Linked DNA regions of Mus musculus: regions 1, 2, 3, 5 and 6 are each reported to be linked to region 4. Evidence: microRNA targets listed by miRTarBase, many of them from high-throughput screens and not tested one by one. Region 4 holds a microRNA gene; each other region holds the end of a gene's coding sequence.

Evidence for each region. Region 4 holds the annotated microRNA mmu-miR-466j (UGUGUGCAUGUGCAUGUGUGUAA, at 2,231-2,253, shown strand). A microRNA usually pairs through its seed, bases 2 to 8, with sites in the 3' UTR of a target mRNA and lowers its output. Matches are read on the target gene's strand: a 7mer-m8 pairs with bases 2 to 8, a 7mer-A1 pairs with bases 2 to 7 and ends in A, and an 8mer does both.
Region 1: miRTarBase lists Slc25a12 as a target of mmu-miR-466j. Seed matches in the 3' UTR shown: 7mer-A1 at 3,577-3,583.
Region 2: miRTarBase lists Lcp2 as a target of mmu-miR-466j. Seed matches in the 3' UTR shown: 7mer-A1 at 1,134-1,140.
Region 3: miRTarBase lists Zfp488 as a target of mmu-miR-466j. Seed matches in the 3' UTR shown: 8mer at 1,862-1,869.
Region 5: the mRNA of Bend4 is a reported target of mmu-miR-466j. Seed matches in the 3' UTR shown: 8mer at 4,754-4,761.
Region 6: the mRNA of Foxk1 is a reported target of mmu-miR-466j. Seed matches in the 3' UTR shown: 7mer-A1 at 273-279.

The regions. Positions count from the first base shown.
Region 1 is chr2:71,270,886-71,275,960 of GRCm38, forward strand. Slc25a12 (solute carrier family 25 (mitochondrial carrier, Aralar), member 12) reads right to left here. Exons shown (of 18, transcript NM_172436.4): 18 at 3,385-4,468. The coding sequence ends at 4,270. Among named protein-coding and RNA genes, the nearest start is that of Dync1i2, 61 kb to the left of the region's middle.
Region 2 is chr11:34,090,380-34,095,454 of GRCm38, forward strand. It overlaps Lcp2 (lymphocyte cytosolic protein 2), which reads left to right. Exons shown (of 21, transcript NM_010696.4): 21 at 186-1,902. The coding sequence ends at 308. 4930469K13Rik (RIKEN cDNA 4930469K13 gene) reads right to left here. Exons shown (of 5, transcript NR_155520.1): 3 at 1,181-1,268. Among named protein-coding and RNA genes, the nearest start is that of 4930469K13Rik, 5.6 kb to the right of the region's middle.
Region 3 is chr14:33,965,701-33,970,775 of GRCm38, reverse strand. It overlaps Zfp488 (zinc finger protein 488), which reads left to right. Exons shown (of 2, transcript NM_001013777.2): 2 at 1-3,706. The coding sequence ends at 585. Among named protein-coding and RNA genes, the nearest start is that of Zfp488, 11 kb to the left of the region's middle.
Region 4 is chr10:60,958,572-60,963,646 of GRCm38, forward strand. Mir466j (microRNA 466j) reads left to right here and starts at 2,152; the gene lies at 2,152-2,273.
Region 5 is chr5:67,393,554-67,398,628 of GRCm38, reverse strand. Bend4 (BEN domain containing 4) reads left to right here. Exons shown (of 5, transcript NM_001164806.1): 5 at 179-5,075. The coding sequence ends at 393. Among named protein-coding and RNA genes, the nearest start is that of Gm33345, 9.4 kb to the left of the region's middle.
Region 6 is chr5:142,455,999-142,461,062 of GRCm38, reverse strand. It overlaps Foxk1 (forkhead box K1), which reads right to left. Exons shown (of 9, transcript NM_199068.2): 9 at 1-4,587. The coding sequence ends at 4,307. Among named protein-coding and RNA genes, the nearest start is that of Ap5z1, 5.4 kb to the left of the region's middle.

The DNA.
Region 1 (5,075 bases), not on the chromosome of region 4:
TGACTGAATGCAGAAGGGCTTGCCTACCATGCACAGATATTGTAGTGAACCCCTAACACTGCATGCACATGCATGTGCACACACACAAATGCACATGCACACACAGAGAGATTATCTATAGTATTCAAATGCATGAGTTTCCTAAAAGCACATATAACAAGAGATGTACACGACTCCTTTGGTGAGCACAAACTTTTATTAAGACATGAAAAATATTTAAGTAGAGATATAGTATGTTCCTGGATCAGAAGCCCCCATCATGACACAGATTCTTCCAAAGCAGCTTATAGATTCATTACTGTTTAAATTATCAGTGCTTTTAAAACGGTTTTGATAAGCTGATAAAATATACATAGAAGAGCGAAGAACCAGGAAGAATCATAGCTCTCAAACAACAGGAGAGACGAGTACCACACTGTGTATCAGGAGCGTGCATTGTACTGGATACAGAAATGAACAGAGTAGGGCGAGAACCTGCATCTAAGACAGGAGAGCCCTACAGCAAGGAGCCCAGAGACAGTGAAGCCCAGGCTGATTCTTAGTGAACAACAACGATGATGCTCCAGAGCCGCTGGGAAAGGACAGGCGTTCAATAAACAGTGCTGGCAAGCCTGGCTGCCAATCAGAGAAACAAAGGTCTGCCCCACATTGCCAGAGACACGAGGAGAGGTCCAAACTGCATGGAACCTGAATGTGAAAGGCAACACTCTAAACTGTATAACAAGAAAATAACTTTATCATTTTTACCTAGAGGTCTGGTGTTTACCCTCTGGTGGTTCTGGGGAGTGAACCCAGGGTCTTGTAGCCGCTAGGCAAGCATGCTGTCTCTCAGCAACAGTCCCAGAACAATAAAGAATAATTTTTTTAATGAGATGCTCAACAAGCTAACAAAAATACCAATACATTTGGACATATTAAAATTAAAATGTTAGTATATCAAAACCATCATAAAAAGACATGGCACAAAGTAGGAAAATGTGTAAGACAAACACATAGTAGTATCCAAAACATGAAGAATATCATGGGCTGAAGAGATGGTTCAGCAGTTGAAAGGACTTTCTGCTCTTACAGAGAACCTGGGTTTGATTCCCAGCACCCTCGTTCGACATTTCACAATCACCTGTGACTCTAGCTCCAGGGGGTCTGGCACTTTTTTGAGCTCTGGAGCCACTGACATGCATATGGTGCATCACACACACACACACACACATTTTTAAAAAAGAGGCACAGTGAAGAATAGATGTCTACATTATCTATAGCAGCGTTGTCTATAATAATCACAAACTGGGAAAACAAATGTCAGTCAAGACTAAGATCGAAAGTAAAGAATAATGCATCCTATAATAGAATGGACAAACTCTCATATGTATTTAGCACAAGAAGTCTCAATTTCATTCATACAAATTTCAAAAAAATAAATAAGAATAGGTCAGGGCTGGCAAAATGGCTCCGGTAAAAGCTCTTGCTGCCCAAACCTGAAGACCTGAGTTCAAATCCCGGACCCCACATGGAAAGTGGAGAAAACTTATTCTCAATAGTTATCCTCTCAACCACACATGTGTTGTGACATGTGTACATATTCGCATACACATAGACATATGTGCATCATTGATGCACAAGAAACAAGTCAAGAGGCCAGCCTGGATGAAAGTAGATCCAAGAGGCCAGCCTGGACCACGGTAGATCTTGTCTCAAAAAGGGGGAAGAGGACCACAGTATTTAAGGATGTATATGTGAGCAGGAAAACCAAGCAGAAATGAAGACATGGTAAGGGGATGGGGTAAAGACTGGGGAGAAGTGCACGGGTACTTCTGGCTGGTTGAGAATGTTGTATTTCTTGACCTGGTCATCGCATGAGTACTATTTTAACCTGTATGCACTTTTCTGTGTCTATGCCTTAGATACTTCATATGCCTTCTGTATATTTTACAAAAAGAAAATGTACAGATGACCAGTAAAAATGAAAAGACAGCGAATGTTCTGCCCACACCTACAATTCCAGCACCTTATTGGGGAGACCAAAGGTTACCACAGGTTCAAGGCTAGCCTGATCCACATAGGGAGTTCCCAGACTCTGAGGTTGCAAGAGTGAGACCCTGTCTCAAAAAACAAACAAACAATAAAAAGACATTCATTCAAGCCCATTAGCAATTAGAAAAATAAAAACTGCAACAGTGACCTCTGTTTATGATCTGCCTGTGAACCGGGCAATCTTAACTTGCCCATGGGGCAGGAGATTGAGACCTCTGTGAACAGCAATGTGGCGAGATGTATACAAAATAAAAAACCCGTCTATTTTATGAATTAGTCCCTAACAAATACTAATATACAATAACATATCATGACACACACACAGAGATATTCTCCTCTAACTACAGTGTTGTTAATAATAATGAAATGACTATTTTAAAAAGGCTTCATAATCCATACAGTGAAATAATACACAGCTACTAGAAACAGGATACACTTTCTATAAACTGATGTGGAAAGAGCTCAGGGACATACTAAGAAAACCAAGTCACGGAATCACACATACATTGCATAGCCCTGGTTCTAAATATATAAATATGTACATATGGAGATGTATGGAAAACAGATCACAAATTTATGCTCTAACCTCTCAGCAAAGGATGACAGGAATGCTGGTTGAAGAGGAGGTAGCGAGGGCACTTTGTCATCGTCTTACACACACACACACACACACACACACAGACACACACACACAGACACACATGTAATTTCATGTCCTTGAACTACTTGTATAATTTTAACAAGCATAGCAAGAACAATTAATTATGCTGTGTGTTCAGTTCTAATGGGACTAATCCAACACATTTAGAAATAGCCAGCTTTCAAATATCTTTTGTTCTTAGGGTTTCAAGAAAGCTCAGAGTTGCAGATACAGGGTTGTCAGCCACCAACTGGTGAGCACTGTGAGGGGCACTTGGTGACTTGGGCCATCTCCAGGTTCACCTCTAATGATATCTGCATATATCCTCACAGCCATGGCCACAGCCGTGCTTTCCCAGAGCTATTCGCTAAAGTTAGTAAGTCCTGATGTTGCCAGCTATCAAGTAACAGCCACAGTAAATGTGGCTGTAGGTCAGAAGCAATTGTTAAAGAGTAAATATGGGCATGTGTGTGTGTGTGCACACACACACGAGAGAGAGAGAGAGAGAGAGAGAGACCTTCTGAGGAAGTCATCTCCATCTGAACTCCTAGCAAGGACCCAGGCTCACAAAATCACCATGTAGGAACCTCCCCGCTTCCCTCCCTCACTCCACCCGAGTTCCTTCTGTAACAAAATATGCATCCCCTAGGAGCAGGCGAGTGCAGACAAAAAAGCCCCGAGAGGAGACCTAGGAAGGAAACCAACTCCATGCAGACATTTTGGTGTGCTTTTATTTTTGATTCGTATCATACTTTACGAAGGGAAACTTCCAAACTTTACTCTTGCAACATCCTGACCTTGACCTTGCTGCATAGGAGAAAAGCAGAACTAAGCGAGCCTTGCTGGAGCCCATCCCGTTCGTGTGTGTGTGTGTGTGTGTGTGTGTGTGTGTGTGTGTGTGTGTGTGTGTGCGCGCGCGCATGAGGAGCTGCTTCCAGCTGACAGGAGGATTACACTCAGCTACAAACGACTGGAAACACAGCAGCCCGTGAGTCACCGGCTCATCCTCTGGCATCCACGGGCAAGCACCCTTCCCACGCGTTTCTTATTTAATGTGGTGAGCATTAAGTTTCGCTCTGCCTTGTATCAGCAAATACCTTCCTAGTCGCGAATGGAAAACAAACTGAAACTGGATACATTCAAACATGGCTGCTTGATTTCCATAAGTCATCAGGAGGAGAATGAATTTAACTTTAGTACATTTATTCTTACATGATTCATAATAAAACACTTTCAAAACCTTCTGTACAGTTCAAGCCACTCAGAACAGCGTTTCATGTTTATAAACGTGATTTGTTGGGATGAGGTGCCGAGGTGTCTCTGTACAAAGATGTACAATATGTACAGTCACTGTAGGTACAAGCTGTGCGAAGCAGAGTCTAGAACACGTAATTCATGCCAAGGCTCAGAAAACATTTCAACACGTAAAGACTAAAGCTTGAAACTGCACTGCGGCTCTCCCTGGGCGTATGATCACTTTATAAACAATACATGTATAGGTCGTATAGAAAGTGGTTGACCCCAGCGCTGACAGTACCATGCAGCTGACTGGACACGGTACCGCCCGTTCTCCTGGGCCTCGGTCTGTACTTGCTATGTCATTGGGCTGCTGCTGCCGCCTTGGGCTGAGCCACAGCTACGCTAGGAGACTTAAACTTGGGGAGGTAAAGGCCAAACTTGTTTTCAATGCCAGCGAAAGTGGCCGTGGCAAGTCTGTAGCCACCGATGTGATCGGGGTTGGCAGGAGGGAGGTCTGCGATGCGGGACTTTGGCGTTGGTTCTGAGCCAGAAGGTTTGCTGTGAACAGGAAAAAGCAGACCGTTAGGGATCTCAGGGCTTACACTTTGAGCGGGGTCTGTGACAGCCACACCCCATGGAGAAGGCTCTCTCAGCTCTCTCCATGTCTCCTGCATCAATCATGATATCCAGCGTCACCACAGCATTGCTTTCACATACGTCATAGAGAAGACAAACGGCCCCACCCCCACTGCTTATGAGCAGACTTGAGGGCAGAAAAATAAACGGAAGAGAAAATGCACTCCATTAGTAATAGTCTTTGGGAAGCTGGCTATTTGTAGATTTTTCTATTTTCTATTACTATGCAGGAAGCATACATGAAATGTAAAGGTATATGTATTGATTTAATTTTAAAGCTTCTTGAATAATGGGCTCATAATGCTTATCACCAAAAGAGAAACAAATTTAGTTCTTGCTTCTACAATCTCTCAAGACACAGTATTTGTACGCTGGGATGAGAAAATTGCTGTCCTTGCATCTTTTCCGTATGCTGGTCGCTCCACTACTTGGATCAGCAGCTATTCCCCTACTGAGGCTTTCAGCAGGATCACAGGGTTATGACATAAAGACACGCAGTGCCCAGGCTTCTGCCCAACAGTTAATAATT
Region 2 (5,075 bases), not on the chromosome of region 4:
GAGATGGCTCAGAACTAAGAGCACTCACTACTCTTGCAGAAGACTGAGGTTCTCTCTGGCCCAACTTTCTATTTCTATCTTTTACTTACAGTTGGTTGGCTATTGAGGAGGAAATCTCTAAACTACCTGATAAATGCGTACTGTCCATTCCACTGCTGACTTATCTCCCCGTTTGACTTTTCCAGGACTTCCTGTCTGTATCAGATATTATTGACTACTTCAGGAAAATGCCGCTGTTGCTCATTGATGGAAAGAATCGAGGGTCCAGATACCAGTGCACACTAACACACGCTGCAGGCTGTCTGTAGCAAGTTAGCCAAGAAATGAGCCTTTCTGACTTGGTGGTCACTGCGGCGAAATCACGTGACCTTAGCAAATCGCCGAGCACTTAGGAGTAGACTGTTAACTCGGGCCCAGAGTTCTGCCCTGCCCTTTTAAAGTATCTGAAGATTGTTGAATACCACATGATTTATTTATTTTCTTTGATGTTTATAGAGTATAGAAGTGATCATGTTCACATTTGAAGTCTAAGAGTGCATGGCAGACATGAGATTTTGAACATCCATCCCAAAATACAGTACTTGATACAGTACAGAAATAATGTGGAGCAAGCTGAAAAAGTACTGAAACTGGTCATTTTTGATATATTTTATAATGAATCTTTTGTCAGGCCGAGGCATGTTCTGTTTTTTACACAACTTAAAATGATTAAAATTCATTTTGGAGCAGCAATAACTTAAGAGGCTCCAAAAAAAAAAAATAGAACTCCATCGTTTCTTATTTGGTTTTACAGGGTGTGTTTTTATGTGTTCCCTTTCGTAATGAGATTAATGCATGTGGGGATAACTTCCTGGGATTAAAGTTATCGTTTGCTTTACTTTTTTCGATCCTTAAGACAACGTTGTTTGGTCCTTGCTGTTATATTTTTATTTTAAAGCAAATGTAAGCTACCTTTCTGAACATACAAGAAGAAAATAGGCTTAGGTTCAGTGATGCAGCTTTGCTGTCAAACATGCTGGGCTTCTTGTTGCTTCTCTTATCACAGACCCTCATGTCTCCATCCATGGTGGCCTCCGTTCTAGTACTGAAGGTCTCCTGGGAAGACGAGCAATGCTTGGTAAACACACACACACGCACACACACACACACACACACACACACACACACACTTCGAGCCTACCTTCCTACTAGATGATACTTGCATTCGCTGGCCTTCAGTTAGACAGTTTGACTTTCTGGGATGGTCGCCTGTTCCTGTTCCTTTGGGCCTGCAACAGTTCATAGAGGATCATGAAGTGAGAATGTGAGGACATCCGTTCACTTCATGGTGACTGGGAAACAAAAGAAAGGACAAGAAGCGCATTTCCCTCCATGTCTTGCATCTTCTGCCTAACTGGGCTTCATCTCCTAAGATTCCACCACTGCCCAATGCTGCCCTGGTCGGGGGCAGGGGGCCAAGCTTCTACCATGTGGGCCTTTGGAGAATTCTATCCAAACCTCTGCTCTGGTTTTCTGCTTTATTAGCCCAACAAGTATGTTGCAAAACTGCTATCTTGTCCTCAGATTGGCTTTTAAACCCTTTGAAGCACCTCAGATCTCCTTCAGTTTTGAAATCACACTTAACAAAAGGTAGAGAGAGATTTCTGGCCTATGTTGGTTTAACTTGCCATTTTTGACTTTATGATGGCATGGAAGTGATGCTTGTTAAGCACGAACTGTACGTCAAAGTTTGAATTTTGCTTTTCTGGGGCTAGCAGCAGATGCTATGAAATGTAAGAGTCTTGGCTAGCAGGTGATCACCAGGGCACCCATCAGTACTTTACATGTTTTATGTTGAAGCTGATTTTTTTCTTTTTGTGGAGGGGCTGCTATGAACGCTCAATAAATTAAATAATGCATTCCATATTAAGACAAAATAGAGTTTGTGTTAGGGGACTCTGCCCAGCTGCAGGTTAAAGTGCATGATCTGAGCATGTTTAAGGCTGGTGAGTCTGAGCTCTGATGTTCAATAAGTTATGAACAGTAAAGAAATTCTCAATTCACAGACTTTCCCCTCACTACTGTAAGCTTTATCAAGATATCGTCAGTGTAGCGGGATGACAATTTGCAGTATTGTTTATGTTTAGCAACATGAACCTGGTACACACGGAGCAGTGACATCCCTTCTTCTCTCAATCTCATTCTCATGGGATGCCTGGCATCATTGCGTGGCATCATTGTGTGACTTTTATTGACAAAAGTTTGATTTCTGACCTACACAATTTTCAAGTAGGAAGGAATATTCTATACTTTTATTTTCATGAGTTAAGAAAACCTTTTTAAAAGGAACCAAGTTAATACTGAAGACACACTAAGATAAGGAGTAGGTCGAAGCACTTACTCAGTGACAATAATAATGTTGTTCTGCAAAACATTGCCCTTACAAAGCAAGAGTTCTCAATTTAGGAAGGATCCAGCACTTGGAAATGAGAAACCTGAAAAGCTTGTATACGTTTCCTCAGGAGGCTGTCCATAAGGATCTGCAGCGACTGCACTATGTGAGATACTGAGCTAGGTCCCGGGAGAGGGCAGCAGGATGCTGCAGGTTCTGATAGAGTAAGCTCAACTTGTGCCTTGCTTTACGGTACTCTGTATTTAAAGGTAATGAAAAGTAAGGACATGGTAGATCTCAAAGCATTTATTGGTAGTTACGATGGTTAAGACTGTCAACTCAAGTGGGTTTTAGAGTCACTTAAGGGTGTATCAGTGAGCATGTTTACAGAGAGGTTTAGATGAAGATGAAAGACACACTCTCAATGTGGGTTGAGTACATAGAGCACAGCACTGCTGTCTTTTCCCCTGTTTCAAAATGGTGGCTGCAGTATGACCAGATGCCTCACTTTCCTTTCCCTGCCAAGATCAACCGTATTTCCTCAAAGTATAAGTCCAAATCAACCCTTCTTCTCTTAAGTTGACTCTTATCAGATGTTCCTCACAGCACCAAGAAAGAAAAGCAGTAGATGACAGGAGACATAAATGTATTTGAATCTCTTAGAACAAAGGGGCAAAAATGAGTGTTGTGGGTAAGGTGTTCTCTTGCACCACTATAGCTGCAATCGGGGAATCTCTGTTTTCATGACTAGCAGCAACACGTGTGCTTTCTTTGAATTCTATTCAGTTCTATTCTTCTGCTACAGTCTTGCCTATCTGAGCCATGAGCCTCATGACACCAGCTTGGGTCATTGCTCTGCTCTTTGCCTACAGATTAATATCTTAGAAAAATTAAGTCATTCAGGACCCCTCTCTGAAACAGAAAATCAGTTCTTTTTAGGGTCACCCAAAGGCAAAGCTGTATGCTGCTGCAGTAGCACCTCCTTCTACCAGGACACGGAGGAAGGAAGCCCGTGTACAGCACAGCAAATACAGATAGGCCAATTCCCAACACCAGACTTCCAGCATCAGTGCAATCAATTGCCCTTTGAGGCAGTAAAACAAGCAAGCAAGCAAGCAAGCAAACAAAAAAACAGCTTTCAAGATGGCATGCTTACTTATAATTATATTAAATTATATCACTAAATTATATAATTAAATTATATCACTAAACTTAGTTCTTCCAGATTTTTTATTTTTATTTATTTTGCTTTTTTTTTTTTTCCGAGACAGGGTTTCTCTGTGTAGCCCTGGCTATCCTGGAACCTCACTTTGTAGACCAGGCTGGCCTTGAACTCAGAAATCCGCCTGCTTCTGCCTCCCAAGTGCTGGGATTAAAGGCGTGTTCCACCACGCCTGGCTGTTCTTCCAGATTTTTAAGTCAACAAAAACCAGAAATCCAAAAAAGACACACACACACACACACACAGAGAGAGAGAGAGAGAGAGAGAGAGAGAGAGAGAGAGAGAGAGAGAGAGAGTTAGTTCAGTCAGATAATCTGACAGAAGCAGGTGCTCCATCTGGAATCTCAGGCTCTTCAAATGGATGGCTTGCTTCTGCCTCTTTGTGGTCCTCTGTCTTCTTGGGCTGACCAAACTGAAGATTGAGGTCACAGAGCAGGATCTGGGAGAGTTCTGAGTAAGGGAGAAGATGGAGTGTCCAGTGTCAGCCCAACTCTTACTGCTTTAAGGAGTCAGTTCCTAACTTCTAATGACTTTTGTCAGACATTCACTGATCAAACTCCTACCTAGGTGACCCATTTGTGAGTTAACCACAGGTATAATGTGGAAGCTGACTAAAAGGTTCTTCACCCATCCACTCAGTTATCTTCCTACACTGTAACAGTATGTAAATATAGCTTTTGTTTTTTAAGATTTATTTATTTAATGCATGTCCTCAGACACACCAGAAGAGGGCACTGGATCCCATTACAGATGGCTGTGAGTGACCATGTGGTTGCTGGGAATTGAACTCAGGACCTGTGGAAGGACAGTCAGGGCTCTTAACTGCTAAGCCATCTCTCCAGCCCCATTTCAATATATCTTAAATCTACCTAACTCACACATGCATGCAATGCAAAGCATCGGGACAGATGTCTATCTTCAACTTTCTTAAGTCTCTTTTTCTTTGATTGTGTGTGTGTGTGTGTGTGTGTTGGTCTCCTCACCCCATGGTGGTGTGCCTATTAGTTTTTATTAATGACAAAAACCTGTCATATCTAGAGAAAGGGGATTTCAATTGAGGAGCTGCCTATAGCAGACTGGTCTGGACATGAGCGTGTGGGGACATTTTCTTCAATGATAGGTGAATGTAGGTGGTGCCATCCCTGGGCAGTGCCTGGGTGTGTAAGAAAGGAAACTGAGCAAACCAAGAGAAGCAAGCCAATAGGCTCCATGTGGTCTCTGTTCTATAAGCTGTAGGGTGAGGTTAACCCTTTCCTTCCCAGGTTGCTTTGGCTATAGTGCTGAAGCAGTAGAACACAGACTAAATCATGGTGGGTGAGTGTGTCAGTGTTTCTCTCTGTATAGCAAAAGGCATGGCTTGTTTTTCCCTTTCAGTTTCTGCTATTTGTGAAGACAGCACTCTCTTATTGACTCCCCACCCTTCCAAATATGCTTAAAGAGGAAAGCTTTCCCAGTTAAGCTTAAATTTTACTTATATAGGTG
Region 3 (5,075 bases), not on the chromosome of region 4:
GTGTGTTCAGCATGGCCAGGTGCCCCCCGGAGTGAGCAGAAAAGTGCTTTCAGCAAGCCAGCCAAACGCCCAGCAGAGAAACCTAAGCGCTCTCCCATGCTTCTGGCTGGTGGAAGTGCAGAGGGCTCATGGGAGCTCTCAGGACTCATCACCACTGTGGACATCCCATATTGGGCTCATCTGTCAACTTTCAAGTTCATGGGTGATTTCTGGAAATTGCACACATTGTCACAGAACATTCTCCTCTGCAATGCTTTCCAGGGGGCTCCCACACCATGGCTGGAGCATACCCAGGTACAAGCCCCCACATCCTCAGCTCCTTCCTCCACAGCCTCCCGGGCTCTCTTGCCGCCCACACTCTCCTCCTTGGGCTTGTCTACTCAGAACTGGTGTGCGAAGTGCAACCTAGCCTTTCGCCTGACAGCTGACCTGGTCTTCCACATGCGGTCACATCACAAAAGGGAACACGTGGGCCCTGACCCACATTCTAAGAAACGAAGAGAGGAAGTTCTCACTTGCCCCGTTTGCCACGAGTACTTCCGGGAGCGCCACCATCTGTCCAGGCATATGGCTTCACATAGTTAGCAGGTGGCTACAGAGGAAACCGATGGCCATAGTATCCAGGACACAGTGGTGAGGCACAGGTGACTACCGGCCTTTGCTGAGAAGGTTGTCATAGACTTCTTCAAGGTTGTTCCTTTTGCTTCCCAGACATGAACTGCTCAGTTATAATTTGTCAGGTGTCCCAGGCCTCGTGATGTGTTTAATGCACAATATGTTTAGTCATGCATTAAAGTGATAAGCTTCACTCATGGGATAGTGGGACCCATGGCTCAGGGAACAGGGCTGCTCCTGTCTCTGTCCCCAGTACTCTGCAAGGAAGCACATGAGTATGACATCGTGGCTTTGCTGATGAGCAAGCCTGCACTCAATCTATGCTTTCAACTATGAGCCCTGACCTCGGACCTGTTCCTTTAGCTTGCTGAACCTCACTTTTATTTTGAAAGTGGTGTGTTAGCAGGATGTCATCAGAGTGGCCCGCTTATTCCCTGGTTGACTGTGAGCATTAAGCATATGGATTGTATAGTCACTGCTTGCACTAGCCAGCTACGTCATTCATGAAATCTCAGGGATGAACAAACATTGTGTTTCTCTGCCACAAGGCTGGGGATGGCTTGGTGGACATAGCTCAAGCTGCACTCAAGTCTAGGCCCTTTTGCTGCTGGGTCATTATGCTGGATATAGTGAAGCCCAGAGTGGAAAATACCGAGAAAATGGGTCACAAGCCTAAGTTTCCCTGGCCCTACGTAAATCCAGGCCTAAAGGGGCCGAGTGAAAAAGTGACCTGGCTGAAACCCTAACAAAGGAGTGGGGGCTAGTAATACAGCTCCCCCCATTCTCTGGGTATTCACACTGTGAATGTGTGAGAAGAGAGAAACAGAACACACATCATTTATTCTGGATTTTATCCAGGTGCCATTCATCCTTGTGGTTCTGAGTAGGGCAGGAAAGAGCAAGTGGAGGGTCCTCGGAATGAGGTCCCCAGGCGGCACTTCACATCCTCTCATCTGTAGGACACAGACAGTGAATTCTCATCCTACTGCAGATGAATTTCAACTTAAAAAGGCTATTGACTTTCCCAACACCACTTTGTCAGGAGCATTGGTGGAAGAACAAAATCCCATGAAGCCCCAGATCTGAGCTCAGGTCTTTCCAGCCGCTTCATGTCTGCTTAGCTAGCATGGCCATGGAGCGTACTAAGTGACTCAAGGTCTGGAACTTTGAGGCTGGGCTCCTTAAGTTCAATTCCAACTTAACCTTGCTACTTTACAAGACGTACACGTGCTCATGCACGCGCATGTGCACACACACACACACACACACACACACACACACACACACACACACCACTCTTCTCTTGAGCACTTTTCTCCATCTTGTATACTAAATAGCATAGCGACTTATCCTGTCCACTGTAGCTCTCCTCTCTAGAATAAAAGGGAGTTTTGGTGTATTTCCATCATCTAGAACAACACAGACACTCAACAGGTATCTGTTGAAAGAAAGAATAAACACATAAGTTAACAAATGAACGATCTGCCTGACTCTGGCTTTGCTCCTGCCAACTCTTGAGTTGGCTTTGAGGAACAAGAGGTGGCATCTGTCAAAAGCACACTTACCTTGAGCCCACACATTGGCACTGATTTCTATGCCATCTCTTTGGAAAGGGGAATGGTCCTGTCATAGCATACAGAAGATGCTTAGAATTGATGTTGACACAAGTTGCTTTGCAGCCAGATTTACAAGTTCAAAGATGTTTAAAAGCCGGTGACTTAGGACTTGTTAGTGACACAGTCCCTCAGAATAAGCATGCTGGGTTCCCAGGTGTCCTCTGGAAGTCCCACCCCCTCTCCTGTCTCCCTTCTTCATGCCACTTGCTCCTCCCAGCGAGAAGGCACTTTATTTTTATTTTATTTTTATATTTTTCCATTTTTTATTAGGTATTTAGCTCATTTACATTTCCAATGTTATACCAAAAGTCCCCCACAGCCACCCACCCCCACTCCCCTACCCACCCACTCCCCCTTTTTGGCCCTGGCGTTCCCCTGTACTGGGGCATATAAAGTTTGCAAGTCCAATGGGCCTCTCTTTCCAGTGATGGCCGACTAGGCCATCTTTTGATACATATGCAGCTAGAGTCAAGAGCTCCGGGGTACTGGTTAGTTCATTATGTTGTTCCACCTATAGGGTTGCAGATCCCTTTAGCTCCTTGGCTACTTTCTCTAGCTCCTCCATTGGGAGCCCTGTGATTCATCCATTAGCTGACTGTGAGCATCCACTTCTGTGTTTGCTAGGCCCCGGCATAGTCTCACAAGAGACAGCTACATCTGGGTCCTTTCAATAAAATCTTGCTAGTGTATGCAATGGTCTCAGCGTTTGGAAGCTGATTATGGGGTGGATCCCTGGATATGGCAGTCTCTACATGGTCCATCCTTTCATCTCAGCTCCAAACTTTGTCTCTGTAACTCCTTCCATGGGTGTTTTGTTCCCAATTCTAAGGAGGGGCATAGTGTCCACACTTCAGTCTTCATTCTTCTTGAGTTTCATGTGTTTAGCAAATTGTATCTTATATCTTGGGTATCCTAGGTTTGGGGCTAATATCCACTTATCAGTGAGTACATATTGTGTGAGTTCCTTTGTGATTGTGTTACCTCACTCAGGATGATGCCCTCCAGGTCCATCCATTTGGCTAGGAATTTCATAAATTCATTCTTTTTAATAGCTGAGTAGTACTCCATTGTGTAGATGTACCACATTTTCTGTATCCATTCCTCTGTTGAGGGGCATCTGGGTTCTTTCCAGCTTCTGGCTATTATAAATAAGGCTGCTATGAACATAGTGGAGCATGTGTCGAGAAGGCACTTTAAACCATGACTTCCCAACTTAGGTCTTTCATTAAATAAATAAAAAAAATAGTCTGGATATTTTTGTTTTTCAAAATTTATGTGAAAATTCTAAGGTGGGCCGTTATGAGATTGGGACTGATGCTTTATGGGTTCTAGAGGGCAAGCTCCTCACTGTCTCTCTGAAGACGCAGCTAAAAAGAGCAATCTCTGAACTAGAAAATGGCCCTCACGAGAGACATTACATCTGCATACACACGACCCCTTTATGATCCAGAACAATAAATTCCTGTTGTTTATAAGCCACTCAGTCTATGGTATTGTGTTATAACAGCCTGAACAGGCCAGGCAGCCACCTACACACAACTCAATTATGGCTTCTTAGGGGTATAGAAATAGTTCAGTGGTTAACAGTGCTTGCTGGTTTTCCAGAGCACCCAAGCCGGGTTACCAGCACACAGGTCAGGCAGCGACAACCACCTGTAATTCCAGCTCCAGCTCCGGGGAGTCTGCTGCCCTATTGTAGCCTCAGGGGGCGCCTGCACACATGTGGCACAATCACTCCCACTCACATAAATAAAACGAATTCTTGGGAAAATGAAGGCATCTAAGAAGTCCTCAGGGGCCGGGGGCTATGGCTCAGTAGTAGAGTGTTTGCCAGGCATGCGTGAGAACCAAGGTTCAATCTCCAGAATGATGCAAAAGAAAGAAAGAAAAAAAAGAATTTGAAAATGAGGCGGAAAGACAACATTCCGAGCTCAGATCAACTTACTAGATGAGGCCTTTGCCAACAACTCCTACCCAAGGACTCTTAGTGCTTAATTCAGACCGTCGTTGAAGTTTTCTATTTAGTGTTGTCCTTATCTTGGAAACAATTAATATCCATCTCAGTGCCAGGTCCTAGTTCCGAACTTGTTACAGATTCCTGGGTCTTTAGGTCAAGGGTCCGAAGTGTAAATGACTGTGTGACTAGACAAACAAATGCAGGTGAAGGTGCCAGGGCACAGACACGGTGGTGGTGCACCTTGGCGTCCGGTCTTGCATTGAGCCTGGGCCGGTCACCTGGGGAAAGCCGCCTCAGAGTCAGGCTGGAAAATGGACTGTAAGAAAGGCCAGGAGTCAGTGTAATTGTCAACTAACTCGGCGGCTGTTTAAACACAGGCAGGCTGATAGGTGCCTTCCTGTGGTGGCGTGGAGGAGGAGGAGGGTTTCCTGGAGCAGGACTGGGGGGTTGGTGTGACTGGCTTCCGTTTACTGCATTCTGGTAATGTGAGGGGCGCGCTCAACATGGCATGGACTTGCGGAACCGTGTTAGTGTGGAAGGCAAAGAAACCATCACCCGGTGCCTCTGGCTCTCACAGGTTTCCAGCTGCTGTATTGGGCAGAAGCCAGGCCTGACCCTCATAACCTCACTCATTCATGGGTTCTGGAAGAGAACTGCTACTCAGGGTGAAAGTGTGAGAAGCCCAACTCCAGTCGCGGCCTCCTTTCATCCCATTGGGAAGAGATGGCGCCCCCTAGAGGCACCTGTAAGTTATTTACCAAACAGATTAAACACAACTGCATCGTTTTTTTTCACAATTTTTGTTTTTTAGGGTTTTTTTTTTGTTTTTGTTTTTGTTTTTTGCTTGTTTGTTTTTGTTTTTTTTTTTTTTACAAGTCATGGGATAT
Region 4 (5,075 bases):
GTAGAAGCCATGGATTGACGTTGAGTTCATTCTCTTCTGCCTTCCACCTTACCTTTGGAGACAGGGCTTCTCACTGACCCTGGAGCTCAGTACACTGCAGGCCAGCACAGCCCTGGATCCGTCTGTCTCTCCCTCCCAGCACTAAGGTGACAGATGTACCTCGCCAGGCCTGGCTTCTCACATAGGTGCTGGGAACCTGAACTCAGATGTTCGTACTTGCACAGAAAGTTCTTTACCCACCGAGCTATCTCCTCAACCTCACATATCCTTAGTCCTGGGTGAAGAAGACTCAGCCATTGTCCCAGGGGGCAGAGGTGACACAAGGTCCTGGACCTGAACCAGAACCACCAAGCAGACAAGAGTTGGGGTGGGGGAGTGAGGAAGAATTAGATAGTCTCCCAGGAACACGAGAAAGGGGCAGCAGGGAAGGGGTCTTTCCTTTGGAGCCCATCCTGCCTCAGCTCCCTGACTGACCTCAGACACTCAGTGTAACTGGAATTGTCATGGTTGGGATCTGAAATGTCCCCCAGCAGGCTCATACTTTGAATGCTTGGTCGTCAGCTCGTGATTCTAATTTGGGGAGCTGTGGGAACTTTGGAGGTAGAGGTTGGCTGATGATATAGGTGACCAGAGGGAGGCAGATCTTTGATGGTGATAGCGGCTTCTGGTTTTAGAGAACTCTCTGCATTCCTGGTCCAGCCTGAGCTCTCACAGTCCCACTACCACGGATCAAACCGCTTCACCACACCTATGCTACCACAATGGATTAAAATCCCCCCAAAATCCCAAGCGAAAATAAGCCTTCCCTTCCTTCCTTATGTTGTTTGTGCTGGGCATTTGGTCATAGCGACACAGAGTTACACAAAGATGCTGAAGCTGACAGGAGTTAGCACTGCCTCTACGATACAGGCCCTGCCTAGTGGATGATTGAGCCAGCCCTAAACAGCAATGTCAGCTGTTACCCTCGGTGAGAAAGGTGCTTTCCAGATCTTGATCACATGAGATCTAGGCAGGGAGGGTGCCTGAGGTATAACCCAGGCATTTCCAACTCTGCGTATGTGGGGAAGCATCCAGACATTAAGTGTTGGGTGTATCCATGCCTGGCCAGGCTCACCTGCCTCAAAGCTGCATCAGTGGTCCAGGGTGTACCACTTATTCCAGTGTGTATCAAGGATAGAGTCTCCCCAGGATGGAGACTTCCCTTATGCCTGACGAGGTTTGGAGGAGCTCCTTGCTCTGCTCTGTCCACTACTATAGATATGTCAAGGAGAGGCAGTCCACAGACTGGGTAATTAGATGTCACCATGTGAACTGAGGACAGGAGGCTCCTCATAGAAGCAAACCCAAGATACTCAGTGCTGGAGAGGACAAGGAGCCCTGGCAGAGGCAGAGCTGTCGAGAGAAGCCACAGCCAGGAGAAAGATCTCGCTCTTCTAGGTAACCCCAGCCCTGCCTGAAAGTCTGGTAACAAACAGGCAGGAGATGTCTCTTCTTAGACAATCCCTTGCCCACAGCGAGAAGCTCCTCATGACCTCACGGTGGATCCTACATCTTAGCCAGGCATGCAAGGCTTCCTCGAGCTGGCCACCGCTACCAGCCCCCTGCCATTCCCCTTTAGATGTGAGGAAATACTCAGGAGCTTAAGGATTAGTGGCAAATTTAACAGCATGGTGATAAAGAAGCTAGGACAGGGCATGATGACAGAAAGACTTTGGAAAGTGACGGTACTAGCATCGTGACTGTCAGCATCGCTACCATCATTATCCTCTCAGGCAGCAGCGTCTTAACACCATAATCATCATGATCACCAGCACCACCAGCACCATCATGACCAGCACCATCATCACCATCATATCATCATCATCACCATGGTCATCATCACGACCACCACCACCCTCACCACCATCATATCACCATCTCATCCCAGTGTCACCTCTGGTTGTCTTTCCTTAATCTGGTACTTCTTCTTAGATTGTCCGTTACTCCTTTCTCTTGTATAAAGTGAGATAAATAAGAATGGACTCTCTTTATCCTCCATGCCCTCTGCCCCATGCACGGCCACCATGAGACATACACTCAGGGAACGCAGGAAGCCTACCAGGGTCCCTGGATATTCTCTTTCTGTGTGTGTGTGTGTGTGTGTGTGTGTGTGTGTGTGTGTGTGTGCATTCGTGTGTTTGTGCATGTGTGTATGTGTGCACATTTATGTGTGTGCATGTGTATGTATGTGTGTGTGCATGTGCATGTGTGTAATTGTGTATATATGTGCATACATGTGTGTGTTTGTGTGCGTATGTTTAAGTGCCTGTGGATGCGTGTGTGTGGGTATATGTACGCGTGTATGTGTGTGCATGTGTGTATGTATGTGTATGTGTGTGCGTATTTGTGTGTATCTGTTCATGTGTGTCCCCGTGTATAGCTGTGTGTATACATGTCTACATTTGTGTATGTGTGTGTACATGTGCTTGTGTATATATGTTTGTGTGTATGTGTGCATGTGTATATAAGTGTTTATATGTGTGTATGCATGTGTAAATGTGCATGTGTGTATGTATGTGTTCATGTTTGTATGTATGCATGTGCACTCACATGTGCTTATGTGCATGTGTGTTTGTGTGTGTATGTGTTTGTGCACTGTGTGTGTTTGTGTGTGAGAGAGAGAGGCCTACCTGTCCCTTCTCTCTTCTCCAGGTGCCACACATCCCTAGCCCCCCCATTCCCTACTGAGCTTCCCTAACACCCCAGGCTTCATCTACCCCGGCTTCTTTAGACATCTTTCTTTTCCCGTGTTCATTGCTATGTCCCACCCACATCTCCTTGTTAGCTGACTCATGACATGTTTCAGAAAACAGTGTTATTGTCCCCTAAGCTACTGTCACCCTGTAGTACACTTTCTCTCCCGTGACAGACAGTGGCACTGACTCAAGGCCACACTTCTGGGTCCAAGTCACTTTCTGAAAATGTCTTTGGATGCGTCCTCCCCGCTTTGGGGGATCTTAGTTGTCTGTCCATTCATGGGAAGGGTCAGGGTGTGGAGAGCGCCCTCAGTCCCTTTCTGCCTCAAGCATCCATCTTGACCAGGCAGAAGAGGGACTTGGGCCTGCCCACTCAGCTCGCTTTCTGTAAATATCCTGTGGCAGTCTGAGGGCTCTTTCGATATTCAGATCTGCCATCTTTCTAATCTTCAAAATCTTGGCAATGTCTTCTCCATTCTGGGTGGCTGGTGTGAGGGTGGGCTGAGGCTGGCAAACCCCATGTGGGTGTTCCTGTCAGCTGAGAGGCCAGAGCAATGGGTTTCCAGTTCCGCCACCCTCTACTGAGAACTCAAACTCCTGCCGAGAGCCTAAGGGGAGGGATATTTACGGTTTAATAACTGGCCTATTGATTCTCATTTATATGCCGCCAATGGGGCTTACCCGAGGAAGCGAAGGTGAAAGGGATGTTTGTAAATACGTTTCTGGCCTGCCCATCACTCAGTCTGCCAGCCTCACCTCTGAGCAGGAGGTGAGCTGGGTTAATAGACTGCATGCCCTCTGTTTAGCTAAGCCCCAGCACACAGCCTGGGGACATCAGCCACACAGGCCAATTGTGCACCCTCCCGAGCCCCAGTCTTTCTAGGTTCCCTTCAATGTTGGCCACATACTTCCACAACCACCATCACGACTCTCCAAGAACAACAGGACATAGTAACCCACTTAATGGGTAAGAACGCAAAACCAGATTCCAGCATTCTAGGCCAGTGCGTGACCACCCCCAACCCTGACCCTTACTTCCTGCACTCCTAAAATGAATTATCTGAAGTCCTATGGCCAAAATTGCTGAATGGACAGTTTGGAGAAGCACTCTTAGCCACCTTTAGGTAGGTGACTGTGATGGTTTGTATATGCTTGGCCCAGGGAATGGCACTATTAGGAAGTGTGGCCTTGTTGGAGTAGGTGGGTCACTGTGGGTGTGGGCTTTAAGACCCTCCTCCTAACTGCCTGGAAGTCAGTCTTCTAGCAGCCTTCAGATGGAGATGTAGCTCAGCTCCTCCTGCACCATGCCTGCCTGGATGCTGCCATGCTCCCACCTTGATGATAATGGACTGAACCTCTGAACCTGTAAGCCAGCACCAATTAAATGTTGTCCTTATAAAAACAGCCTTGGTGATGATGTCTGTTCACAGCAGTAAAATCCTAAGACAGTGACCAACCTCTGTACACGCTACCATAAAGCTGTGACCACGATTCCTTGTGAGGCTTCAGGTCAGCAGGCTGATGGGATGAGGCTTGTGCCATTAAGTAGCCCCACTGTGGTGCCTGTGGTGAGCTGGAGGCCTTTCTAGCATTAGAACATTGGAGGAGGGCCGGGCGTGGTGGCACACACCTTTAATCCCAGCACTTGGGAGGCAGAGGCAGGCAGATTTCTGAGTTTGAGGCCAACCTGGTCTACAAAATGAGTTCCAGGACAGCCAGGGCTACACAGAGAAACCCTGACTTGAAAAACAAAAAAACAAAACAACAACAACACCAAAAAAAAAATTGGAGGAGGACCTTGCAGAGGACAGCTGGGTCCTTGCATCACCCCATCAAGCTGGGCCGGGCTTGCTCTTATGCATGGTGTCCAGGTTCAAGAGAGAAGTAGAAGCTCTACGCACCTGTATGAATCTCCACTTACCTCTAGTTTGCGACCAAGCCATTGGCCAGAGAAAGAGATGTGGGGAGGGCCTTAGTTAAAGCCACAGACTCAGGCAGACAGGGGGCACCCAAGCAGCTTCCCCAAGAGCAATGCTCCCTCCACTGTTCTTCCACAATCTGCCTCTCCCCTTGCACTGAACTGAACACAAAGAAATGCCACCATCGGTCTGACCCAAGTCTAGGCTACAGGTTACCTCATTGGAGAAGCACGAGGCTTAATCCATATGGCTACAGCATGTAAGACACCTAGTGACGTAGCTCTGTAGGGGACTTTAGAGCTGAGACTATCCCACAATGGAAATGGCTCCTCTGAGTGATAGTGAGTTCACCATCACCAGGGTGTGCAAGCAGAGGCACAAGGCCAACGGGGAGGACGCTGCCTCTGAGGGCCTCTGAGGA
Region 5 (5,075 bases), not on the chromosome of region 4:
GAGAACACTGGCGTGGGGTAGGTTGGATGGAGTGAGTGGTGCGGTCATTGCATTGCTGGGGACCTTCATGTGACTCCGCTGATAGTTGCCTCTGGTGTAGGCTAAGCTGCCTTCGTATCATCTGTCCAAAAACCAGCTGTTTTCTCTCTCGTCTTTACTGTTGTTTCTGTTCCCACAGAATTCATTAGGATGCACTGTACCTCAAACCCTGATTGGTGGATGCCCTCGGAGGAGCAGATAAACAAAGTGTTCAGCGATGCTGTAGGTCATGCCCGACAGGGGCGGGCCGTGGGGACTTTCCTGCACAACGGTGGCTCGTTTTATGAAGGGATGGATCACCAGGCTTCCCAGGATGAGGTCTTCAGCAAGACACAGGACGGATCTGGGGACTAGTGGACACAATCGTCCCAGTGCTGTGTGGTTTCTTGTGTAAGAGCTCCAGTTGTGAATGTCCATTCCCATGTCACTTAGAGTCCAAAGCATGTAATTCCGTCACACTTTACACATTCTCGGACTTAAAACTCTTGACCCACTGCCACAGTTCCCAAACAGGAATCCACTTTAGGATTTTCGGGGGGGAAATCTCTAGCACCTGCAGTAGATTTGGGGTGTGTTATATCACAGAGGAAAATGTACATTTGGCATGAAGTCATTTCTAGCTAGGCATTGAGGGTGTCTCCAGTCCCAGATCTTCAGGGAAGCCTGGCCCCCTGAGCAGAGCTGGTCTCCAGGGAAGGCTCAGTTAGTGTTCCTGCACATGGGCGAAGGGAAGACGAGCAACTGTAACAAGTAAGCTGTCTTCGATTTCCTAAGACTTCATTTCAGAGTTCCCAGCAAAGACACAAGCTAGGTGACACTGTAAGCCTCCATCCGTTTTAAACGCTGACGGGAAGAATCCAGAACAGAGGCCATGTCTATAGAGAGCGCGTAGGTGTGGACGTCGGCTACTTTTTCTGTTACCTTACAGACAGAACTCACTGTGTCCATCAGAAGGGCAACCTCCTCGCTGTGGTTGACAAGCAGGAGATTCTCTTTATATCTTTAGGAAACATCCAAAGATTGAAAACCATTTTCCAATGCCTCGTTTCATAAGTTCCTAACGCACAGCTTCCGTAGCCTTAAGTCATACTTCGTTGACACAGTGCCGGGGTGGTGGGTTCAGCGAGAACTCCCACAAGCTGGCTGTTGAGTAAGATCAAACGCAGGGCATGAACGACGGCATCTGCTGTTGATCAGGGGTCTGGTATTGTAGACGTGGAGCGTCAAGGCCGTTCTGACAACTATGCAATGGCTGGTGGGTGATTTCTCTGAAATTTGAGGCCTTTGCTGGGCTGAGTGAAGGTTTAGCATATATAAAACTTCTGTTTCCCATTGTCATGGATGAAAACGCCCCATCCAGCTGTGCACATCCTCCTCGGTCTAAGCTCTGAGTTACCCTTCTGCTTCCCTGCTTAATTTGTGGAATCCGTATGTGAGGTTAGTGATGCCCTGGGAACCACTTCCTAGTAAAGGCTACAGAGGTGCTATAATTGTTACTGATGGAGATTACGCTTTGGACCTGCGGAGAACACTGGCTTTATTAAACAAATCAAGATTACTATGTTCTTTGTGGAACCAAAAGCTAAATGGGCAGCGTTTGTGAAAATTATGAGTGTCATCTACAAACACAGCAAAGAGCTTTGAAAATGGGGTAGAAATTCAGACTGTGAGTATCCGTTTAGAAAGGACTTTTGGGGAGGCCAGTTTTGTCAGAATAATCACGCATCCTTTAGATTCAATATTTAGCAAATATTGAACAAATCAGCTGAACAGTTTAGAAGTAAAAGAAATTAAATGGGTAAATGAGCTGTCATTTACAGTGGACCCAAGACCAGTGTCTTTGGCTGTCCAAGAGAAAGGGTTGTTTGTTTGTTTGTTTGTTTTTTCCTAACTATAAAAACTGTCTCCGGATAACATCCAGGATAGCATTAATGTTGATAGCTTCTTGCTGGTCTGGGGCACTCACTATCATCTTGTTAAAATCCTCATCTGTAGCACCGAAGACTTCTCATACTGCTGTTTATCTGCTCTGCTGAGTCCCGTTCCTCTCTTTGGTGGTTTATTTAGTCAGTAAGCTTGGACAAGCTTCCCTTGGTTGTCTTGTAGTCTTTAAATGATCCATCGAGTTTTCTCTTCCACGAGTTTGCAACTTTTACATTAAGTTTGGGAAGTTAGCAGGAGCTAGCCTCAGGGCCTTAGAGCCTTAGCATAAGGAATCAGACAGTCCCCATGGAGAGGCCTGAGTTCCTCCTCCACCTCTTTAAAGGCTCTGATCTCAACACCAACTCTGGGTAGCATCATGCCCTGGGACAAGCCTTTGTCAATGCAGCTTCTAATTGTCATCTCTGCATAGGCGGACATTAGCTTTAGTTGACTAAGAGCCTGTATCACCTTCACTATCAAATGTAGCTTTAAGGAAGGGGGTATCTAAATCATTTGTGGGTACACCTACACCAAGGGTTCTTGCCACTTGCTTCAGATGTGCAGAGGGCACCCGCTGCTTCCTGTACTGTATTGCAAGGTCTGGATGATAATAATAAGAAGTGCAGTGGACTACTGATGAGCTGTTGTCAATTACATCTGGAGCATTCGTTCAATATGATGTTGAAAGGGGTGTTTCTTGTGTGTGATCCAAGGTCTGGGAAGTCTGGCCTAGGAAATCTCCAGTGTCGGGAACCTAGCTGTTGTGCATATGTGGAAACTAAGGACTACAATGCTGACCTCCGCCGTAGCAGTTCTCACATGTAATTACATGAGGGCCTAGAATTAGCCTAGTCAAGTGTCCCTTTTTTCTGCCTGCTTATGTGATTGCTGTTTTCTTCAGCTTAGTTTACCACCTGATACCAGCAGTCAAACACTTAGGATTGTTTCAGCCTTCTGCTGGCTCTTTCCCTGTGTGGGCATCCATTTAAGGCTGGGGTGCTACTCAAGTCATAGTGGTTTCCTGTGTGGTCCCCTGACTATTAAGTCAGCCTGCAAAAGGTGCCGCTTCTGGCAGAACTCCCTGTTAAAGCTGACTACCCTGATTTCCCCACATGCCTTGAGTTTGTTGTCTAGAGGTCTGAAGATGTTGTCAAATTGACTTGGTTTGCTTTTCCACGTCATTCTGGCAGTCAGACACATTGTTTTCGTGATGCAAAACCTAGTCCTCTGTCAACTTTTAGAATTACCCTGAGCCGTTCAGCGTTGGTTGGAAGTAGACTTGAGTTAAAAATATCTCAGGATGCAGCTGTGCCCTGTCATTGGTGAGGAAAATGTGGTTGCCGGGCTGGTGTAACTGAATGTGGCGTTTTCGTCAGTGATTGGGTAGGTCCGGAGTCCCAGTGTCCAAGGCTCGATAGTTCACAGTGGTGCTTTCCTGGTGTATCCTTCATTTTCGAAATTAAAATGCCTGCTTCTCACAAGTGTTTAACCTCAGGCACAGATCTTGCCAAGAGAATGATGGCCCTGGAATGAGCTGTCAGGGGACTGAGACCAGGGACCTGTGGAGGGGAGCAGAGTTTTACATTTGATAAGGCCCCATTTCTCATCAGCCCATTTGTGGGTGTTGAGCCTCTCGTGGTATCAAGAAAAGTGTAGCTGTTTCTACAAGTCCTTAGCCCTGTTCCTCGTCGGTCACAGCATTTAGGGGACTGTCACCATGTGTTTCCTAAGGCTTCCCTATGGTAGAGAGTGGAGGAGTAAAAGCATGCTGATCTCTTGGTCAGGTGGTGAGGGAAGCGCGTGCCTCTGCCAGTCGCTAGTGGGCTGTTCCTGTAGACTGCCCCTTACCCTTCAGTGATCTGCACCGAGGCCATGCCTTCGTCAGGATGACAAGGAGACAGGTTACTGCAGTCTTACTTGGTGCAGCTGGATGCATGGCATCAGGTGGTCGGCACTGGCACAATTGGATTGTGGTTTTCTCTCAGTCCAGTAATGATTCTTGAATGATTTGCTGTCAACACAAAATCTAAACAATAACTCCTAAACTTAGGAATCTGCAGGTGTGTGGTTTCTGCGTATCCCTGCCATTTAATGACTTGTGCCTCTTCTGCAACTGAGAAAGTGGACAAAACTCCTGGGAAGGTGTGAATTATGTCCAGAACGCAAACATGACCCTCATTTGAGTTCTGTGTTTTGCGGTACAGGGAGTCAACCATGTATGTGCTCTAGACTAGCCCTGATACCCACTGGCTACCTCCTTAGTTTCTCTATAGATCAGTTGACTTTTTTTTTTTTTTTTTTTTTTTTTGTAGTTTGAAGGTCATTTTTGGTGACTTAGAATTTGAAGTGTATAATTTCCTCAGTGCGGTATCATCTCGCAGTACAGGTCTGTGTTAGTCTGTGACAGCTTTCACATGTGGGTTTGTAGAAATGTAATGGAAAGTGGGTTTGCACATACCGTGTGAGTCTTCCTGCTGTGTGCTTAATGTGGCAACACTTGCCAAAGCTGCTTGGCAAACACGTCAAAAGGGATGCTTGAGTCACAGCTCTAATGCAAATGTGTCGCAACAGCAGTGTGTGTCATTATGATGTATTTCTGTAAACACAGTGATGGCTCCTTTCAGTCATATAAGTACTGGATAAAAATAACCACTTGAAACATTGGAGGGAAATGTCACTTAACTGATGGCAAAGCTACTCGCATTATCAGCCAGGGGCTTCTGTGTGTGTTTGTGTTTGTGTGTGTGTGTGTGTGTGTGTGTGTGTGTGTGTGTGTGTGTGCGCGCGCGCGTGCACACAAAATGGAGAAGGAAGAACTAACATTGGCAATGTGGAGGGCAAAAGGAATACGCCATCGAATTAGAGGCCACTTGCATTCCCCACACTATATTGGATTTTAGGAAATACTGGGAGAACTGGAATTCCCACACTAAATTACTGGCCTTGTCAGTTTGACTACTGAAGGCACTAGATTACCAAAAATTTTTGATTCTAAGCTTCATAGCTGACTGCAAGGGCTGTGTTCTTCTTGTTGAATCACCATTCCCCAAATTGCAACAAAAGTACATCTGCTAGCGATACCCATTCAAAAACCTGGGTCGCTCTGTACAGTG
Region 6 (5,064 bases), not on the chromosome of region 4:
TCAGCCAGTCCCAGGGACACAGGGGACAGTGCTGAGGTTGCTCTAATGGTGGTAAGTGCTTCACATATGGGGTTGTGGACCACACCTGGCCACTGTCTGCACTCAGGCTTTTGGGGTGCCTGGGCCCCAGATTCCTCCACACTGGTCACCTGTGAGTAGTCACAGGAACAGGATTCCAGAGGTAAAGCAGCAGGCCCTTCTAGTCCTCTAACTCTCACAAGGCAGGTGTGCGTGTGTGTGTGTGTGTGTGTGTGTGTGTGTGTGTGTGTGTGTGTGTGCGTGCACACACAGACAAGGACTTAGGGGAAGAGGTCCTGGGGGCCCTAGGCAGCCTGTGTTTGACAGCTTAGCCCAAGTACAGAAACACATGCTTTTCATTGTGACTGAAGCACTCTAAGTATTTTGAGAGAGAGAGACACACACACACACACAGAGACAGACAGACAGACAGACTCCTCACTGAGGGATCTTTACCACTGCTGGCTCGGCACCAGCTGTGAGGGCAGCCCTCAGCCTCCAGTCCCACCGGCTTACCTCCCCTTAGCTCTTACCAAACTGCTCTCCCTCTAGCTGGCCGCTTCCTCCCTTCGAGCATCCTCTGTCCTGCCTCGTGCCCAGATGGTACCTCTGGAGAAGGCATGCGGCTGGCCTCATCTGTGGGACAGGCCTGCCCAGGCTGTTATGCCCCGTGCCCATGGGGGGGAGTGTGTGTGTGGGGGGCAGGTTCTAGAATGTTCCCTGCAGTAGAGCTGAGGCCTGATAGAGGGAACCTTGGAGCAGTGAGGCAATGCAGAGGAGCAGCCAGGACCACTCAGGGGGCTTTTGTTCTTCACCACGAGTAGAAAACCTACTTTTCCTAAGGAAACATCTGTGGTTGGTTCAAAAATGTTCCCTTGCCAAGCAGCTGTGACGTTAGGGGTTAGGGAGGGCAGAGAGAGAGAGAGACGTGCCATATGCCAGTCTGTGGGGGCACCTAGGCCACACCCTGCTGTGTCACCAGTGTAGCAGCTTTTGGTACAGAAACAAACAAACAAAAAAAGACAAAACGCAAACAGCGCTGGGCCATGGTAGCATGTAGGCCATCACCCCAGAAATTCAGGAAGCTGAGGCAAGAGGACTGGGAGTTCAAGGCCAGCCTGGGCAGCTTTGTGAGTCCCATCTCAAGTTTAAAAAATCAAAATGGCTGGGAGTACAGCCAGTGGTAGAGCACTGGCCTAGTAGCTCACCTTGCAGGACAGACCCAAACAAACAAAACCCAAAACAAAACAATCTAGAGCCCAACAAGCAGGTGGGTGCAAGACCCACCCTGAGTTCATGAGAACTCCCAAGATGAAAGGGGGCATTAAATGGGGAGCAGGACTGAAGCAGCAGGCAGAAGGCCTCTGTTCTCTGCCCCGCCCACCCGGCCCAGCAAGCCAAAGTCCCTGTCAGAGGGCCTGCTCTGAAGGGAAGTGGTGTCTGCAGTGGCAATCTTTGGAACAGCTTGACTTATCCTTTTTAATATTGCTTCTAAGCAGAGGTATTCTGGGAGACCGGAGGTGAGGATATAGGTGGCCGCTCTGTTCCCCCTGACCTAGCCTCGGGGTACCCTGTGGCCATTTGTGGTGACTTTGCCTCTCCTGGCCAGGATGTGATGTTTCCCACACATGAGGGACCTTTCACTAGAGCTGAGACGCCACCCCTTTCTGACTTATTCTAAGCAGGCACTGTGCAGTTCGGATGGGGAGGGAGGGACTGGGCGAGCAATGTCACGTGGGTGTTATGAAATTTGAGGATTTTGAGGAAGAACAGGAACAATCCACCCGTTTCTCTCTATGGGGAAGGGTTTCTTCTTACATTTCACTGACCTTTAACCCCCACCTTACACTGTTTTACCACTGCCCAAGGGGTTCCTTTGTCTATAAAGGCTTCACATCTGTTCCTGAATTGTTCCCCCAACCCAGGGCTTAGTGGGGTGCTCCAGGGTTGCCAGCCATGGGCCACACAGTGCGTGGACATGGCCCTCCTGGCTCAGAGCTTGTGGGAGCACGCTCTGGTGCCAGCTTCTGCCCAGCAGATGACCAAACCCACTCCGCAGAGCAGCAGCACTAGTCTAGCCTCCTTGTAGCTCAGGCTGTCCAACCAGGCCGTCAGGCCGTGTACCGGGACAGTGTGTGTTCTCTCTCTCTCTCCATACCCTTCCACGCCCCTGTTAATGGTGAAGATCTGCCTCAGAGCACGGAGCCCACGTTTCAGGAACTGGGACAGCAACCTGCTCATGACCATCCACAATCTTAATCTGCCTTGGAGGGTGACCATGGACAGCCCTGGAGTAAAGGGTGATGGAGGGAAAGATCAGCAGCTGGCACCAACGTCCCTTGTCACCTCAGCCCACTACGCAACTCAGATCTCCACCCCATTCGTTCTTCCCTAACCCCAGGCTCACACCAGGCACACAGAGAGAAGTTCATGCCAGGTACCAAGGGAAGATGTGAGACAGAGCCAGCCCTCTGCCCCCTCTGAGGGGAAACCCCTCCCCCAGCCACCATCACACCAGCCCCACTTCTCTGAACCTTTCCAGGCAATAGGCAGGAGACCTCCAAAACACTGGCTTGAAGCCGAGTACTACAGAAATGACTGGCTGGGGAGCTTGGGAGATAGCTCAAGAGAGGAGGCAGGTGCTCCGCCCTGGTCCCTGATGTGTGGGGGGCACTGGTGGCTTCAATGGCAGCAGCCATACATCGGAGCTTGGACTTATCCATCCCGGTCATCTGCTCTCCTGTGACCACAGCCTCCAGGTCTGGAGTCCCTTCCAGCAAAGGCAGCTTGTCCAGCCTGCTCTCTGCCCACAGGGCCCTTGGGCCTCTTCTGACCGGCACCAGGCAGAGAAGGCGGCTGACTGGTGGGTGGTTTGATACCAACGACAGGGCCTGGGGCTCTGTCCAAGTTGTTGCCAGCTGCTTACCGACCACCCTCTAGGAGGACCAACACTGAGTTTCTGGCTGCTTTGGAGTTTCCTGTCGCACAGCCCCCATGACTGCTTCTATAAAATCAACTCTCATTCTCACAGAGAGAAACATTTGATGGCTCCTGCTCACGAGACTTGGTGTGGTGTATGTTAAAGTGCTGTTGGTCACTTGTCCGGCATGCAAAGGGACCTTCCCCGGGCGTCCAAGTCCTCAGCTGACACCCACGCTTTGGTTCTTGCTGCACTGTACTCAAACTTGGCACCGACTGCTGTCCGGAGAGGTAGTTTCCTTTCCAGAGGATAACGGTCAGGTAGAAAAGAGGGTTTCCATTTTCAAACTGGACAGGGTTCTCAGTTAACTGGAATGGGGGTGGGGTGGGTGGGGGAGGAGACGGTGTGAGCAGATCACCGCCCAGATCCTCTGCTGTCTTCCTGCCGCATACCACCCACCATCCATCATCCTCCTGCTGAGCAAGTGGCTGACCGACTTCCCTTGCAGCTGGCTCAGGCTTCCCTGGAGATCCGTTTGTAGCTTGCAGCTCTCGACTCATTCAGTGCTGTGGGCACTGGCCCTGGGCTGACTTTCAACCCAGAGCTCTTTGATCCATCAATGTGGGAGCCGCCCATCCTTCTTGGAGTTATCAGGGAGAGCGGCATGTTCACCAGGGCCTGGTGTGGTCGAGCGCAGGGCCTGGTGTTGCTTGGCTGCCTACAAAAGGGAACCTCAGAGACACATGGTCTGCTCTGTGTGTCTCAGGTTGGAGATGAGCCCAGATTCCATATTTAGCTGAAAGAAATATTTAGGGTCCAAAGCCAAAGCAGATCTCCCTGACCCCAGTTAATGCCACAGTCTCTGTCACTTTTGGGGAGAGGGCTCTGTATCCTAGCCTGTGGCTGGGAAGTTCTTGCCATTCTGTTTTCTGGTCTATTCCCGGATCAGTCACAAATAGGAAATCCGTGGACCCACTCTCAGAGAGAGGAGCCTGGGTTTGCACTGTGCTTCTGTCCAGGCCTGGGGCTCAGGCTCTTGTTGTGGGCGCTGCCTGGGATCCATTCCTGAGGAGCTGGGCTAGATAGACCTTCTCCCCCAAGAACTGGGGAGAGGCGATGGCATGAGAGAGGGGTAAATAAACACACAGAACCCCCAGATTCATACAATCAAGTTGTCTGTACGTGTTTATGTGTTTGTTTCAAACCATGGGAGGACAGGAGATAAAAAGGAAACTGTCCGAGTGCGGCGGCCACCCACATGAGGGCTGCAGGCTGTGATGGGCTTTTCCACTCGGTCCTTGAATGTAGCTGCTGGCCACTAGGGCTCCTGTGGCGTGAGTTTCACTCCACCTTCCTGCAGGCGACACTTCACTCGCCGGTCCCCGGGCCCTGAGGGCCGGTGGCTGCCATAGCTGTGGGCTGTGTGGTGGCTGTCCCACCGGGTTCCTCTACCCGGGACCTCTTGACCTCGGGCTCTCCGCTAGAAGAGGCAGATGTGGTAGTGGAGGCGGCTGGGGTTGGCGCTGCATTAGCGGCTACTGAGACGGCTGCTGCTGGCTCCTCAGGCCCCACCTCACACACCCGGGTGATGACCACTGGAGTGGATGAACTTGCCTGGGCTGCCAGGAGCTGCAGGGGGCTGCTGAGGGCTGGCGGTAGGAAGAAGAGGTTACTTAAGGGTCATCACTATTTGACCACTAACTGACCCGAGCAGCAAAGCCAGAGCCACAGTTCTTTCTCTGCCCGTTCCTCACACAGACTCCTTCTCCCCGCCGACAGCAAGTTTGAGTCAGACACCCAACACCCGACTCCACTCAGGGCCCTTTTCTTTGCTGCCTCTGTCACCCTGAGGATGCCCCTCCCTCCCCTCTTTGCCTCTGTGATGATGAATCTTTACATCACCTTAGTGGGATTTAAAATTGCAATGGAAACAAACCTCTGGGCCTGTCTGTGAGGGGCTTCTAGATCAGGGTCACGAAGAGGGAAGACCTATCCTGCCTGTGGTGACAACATCCTACACTGGCTGTGGTAACACCGTCCTGCGCTGGCTTCCAAGATTGACTAAAGTGGAAAGCAAGCTAAGGACCGGCTTCCTCTCCCTCTGCTTCCTGACTGCTGCCATGCCT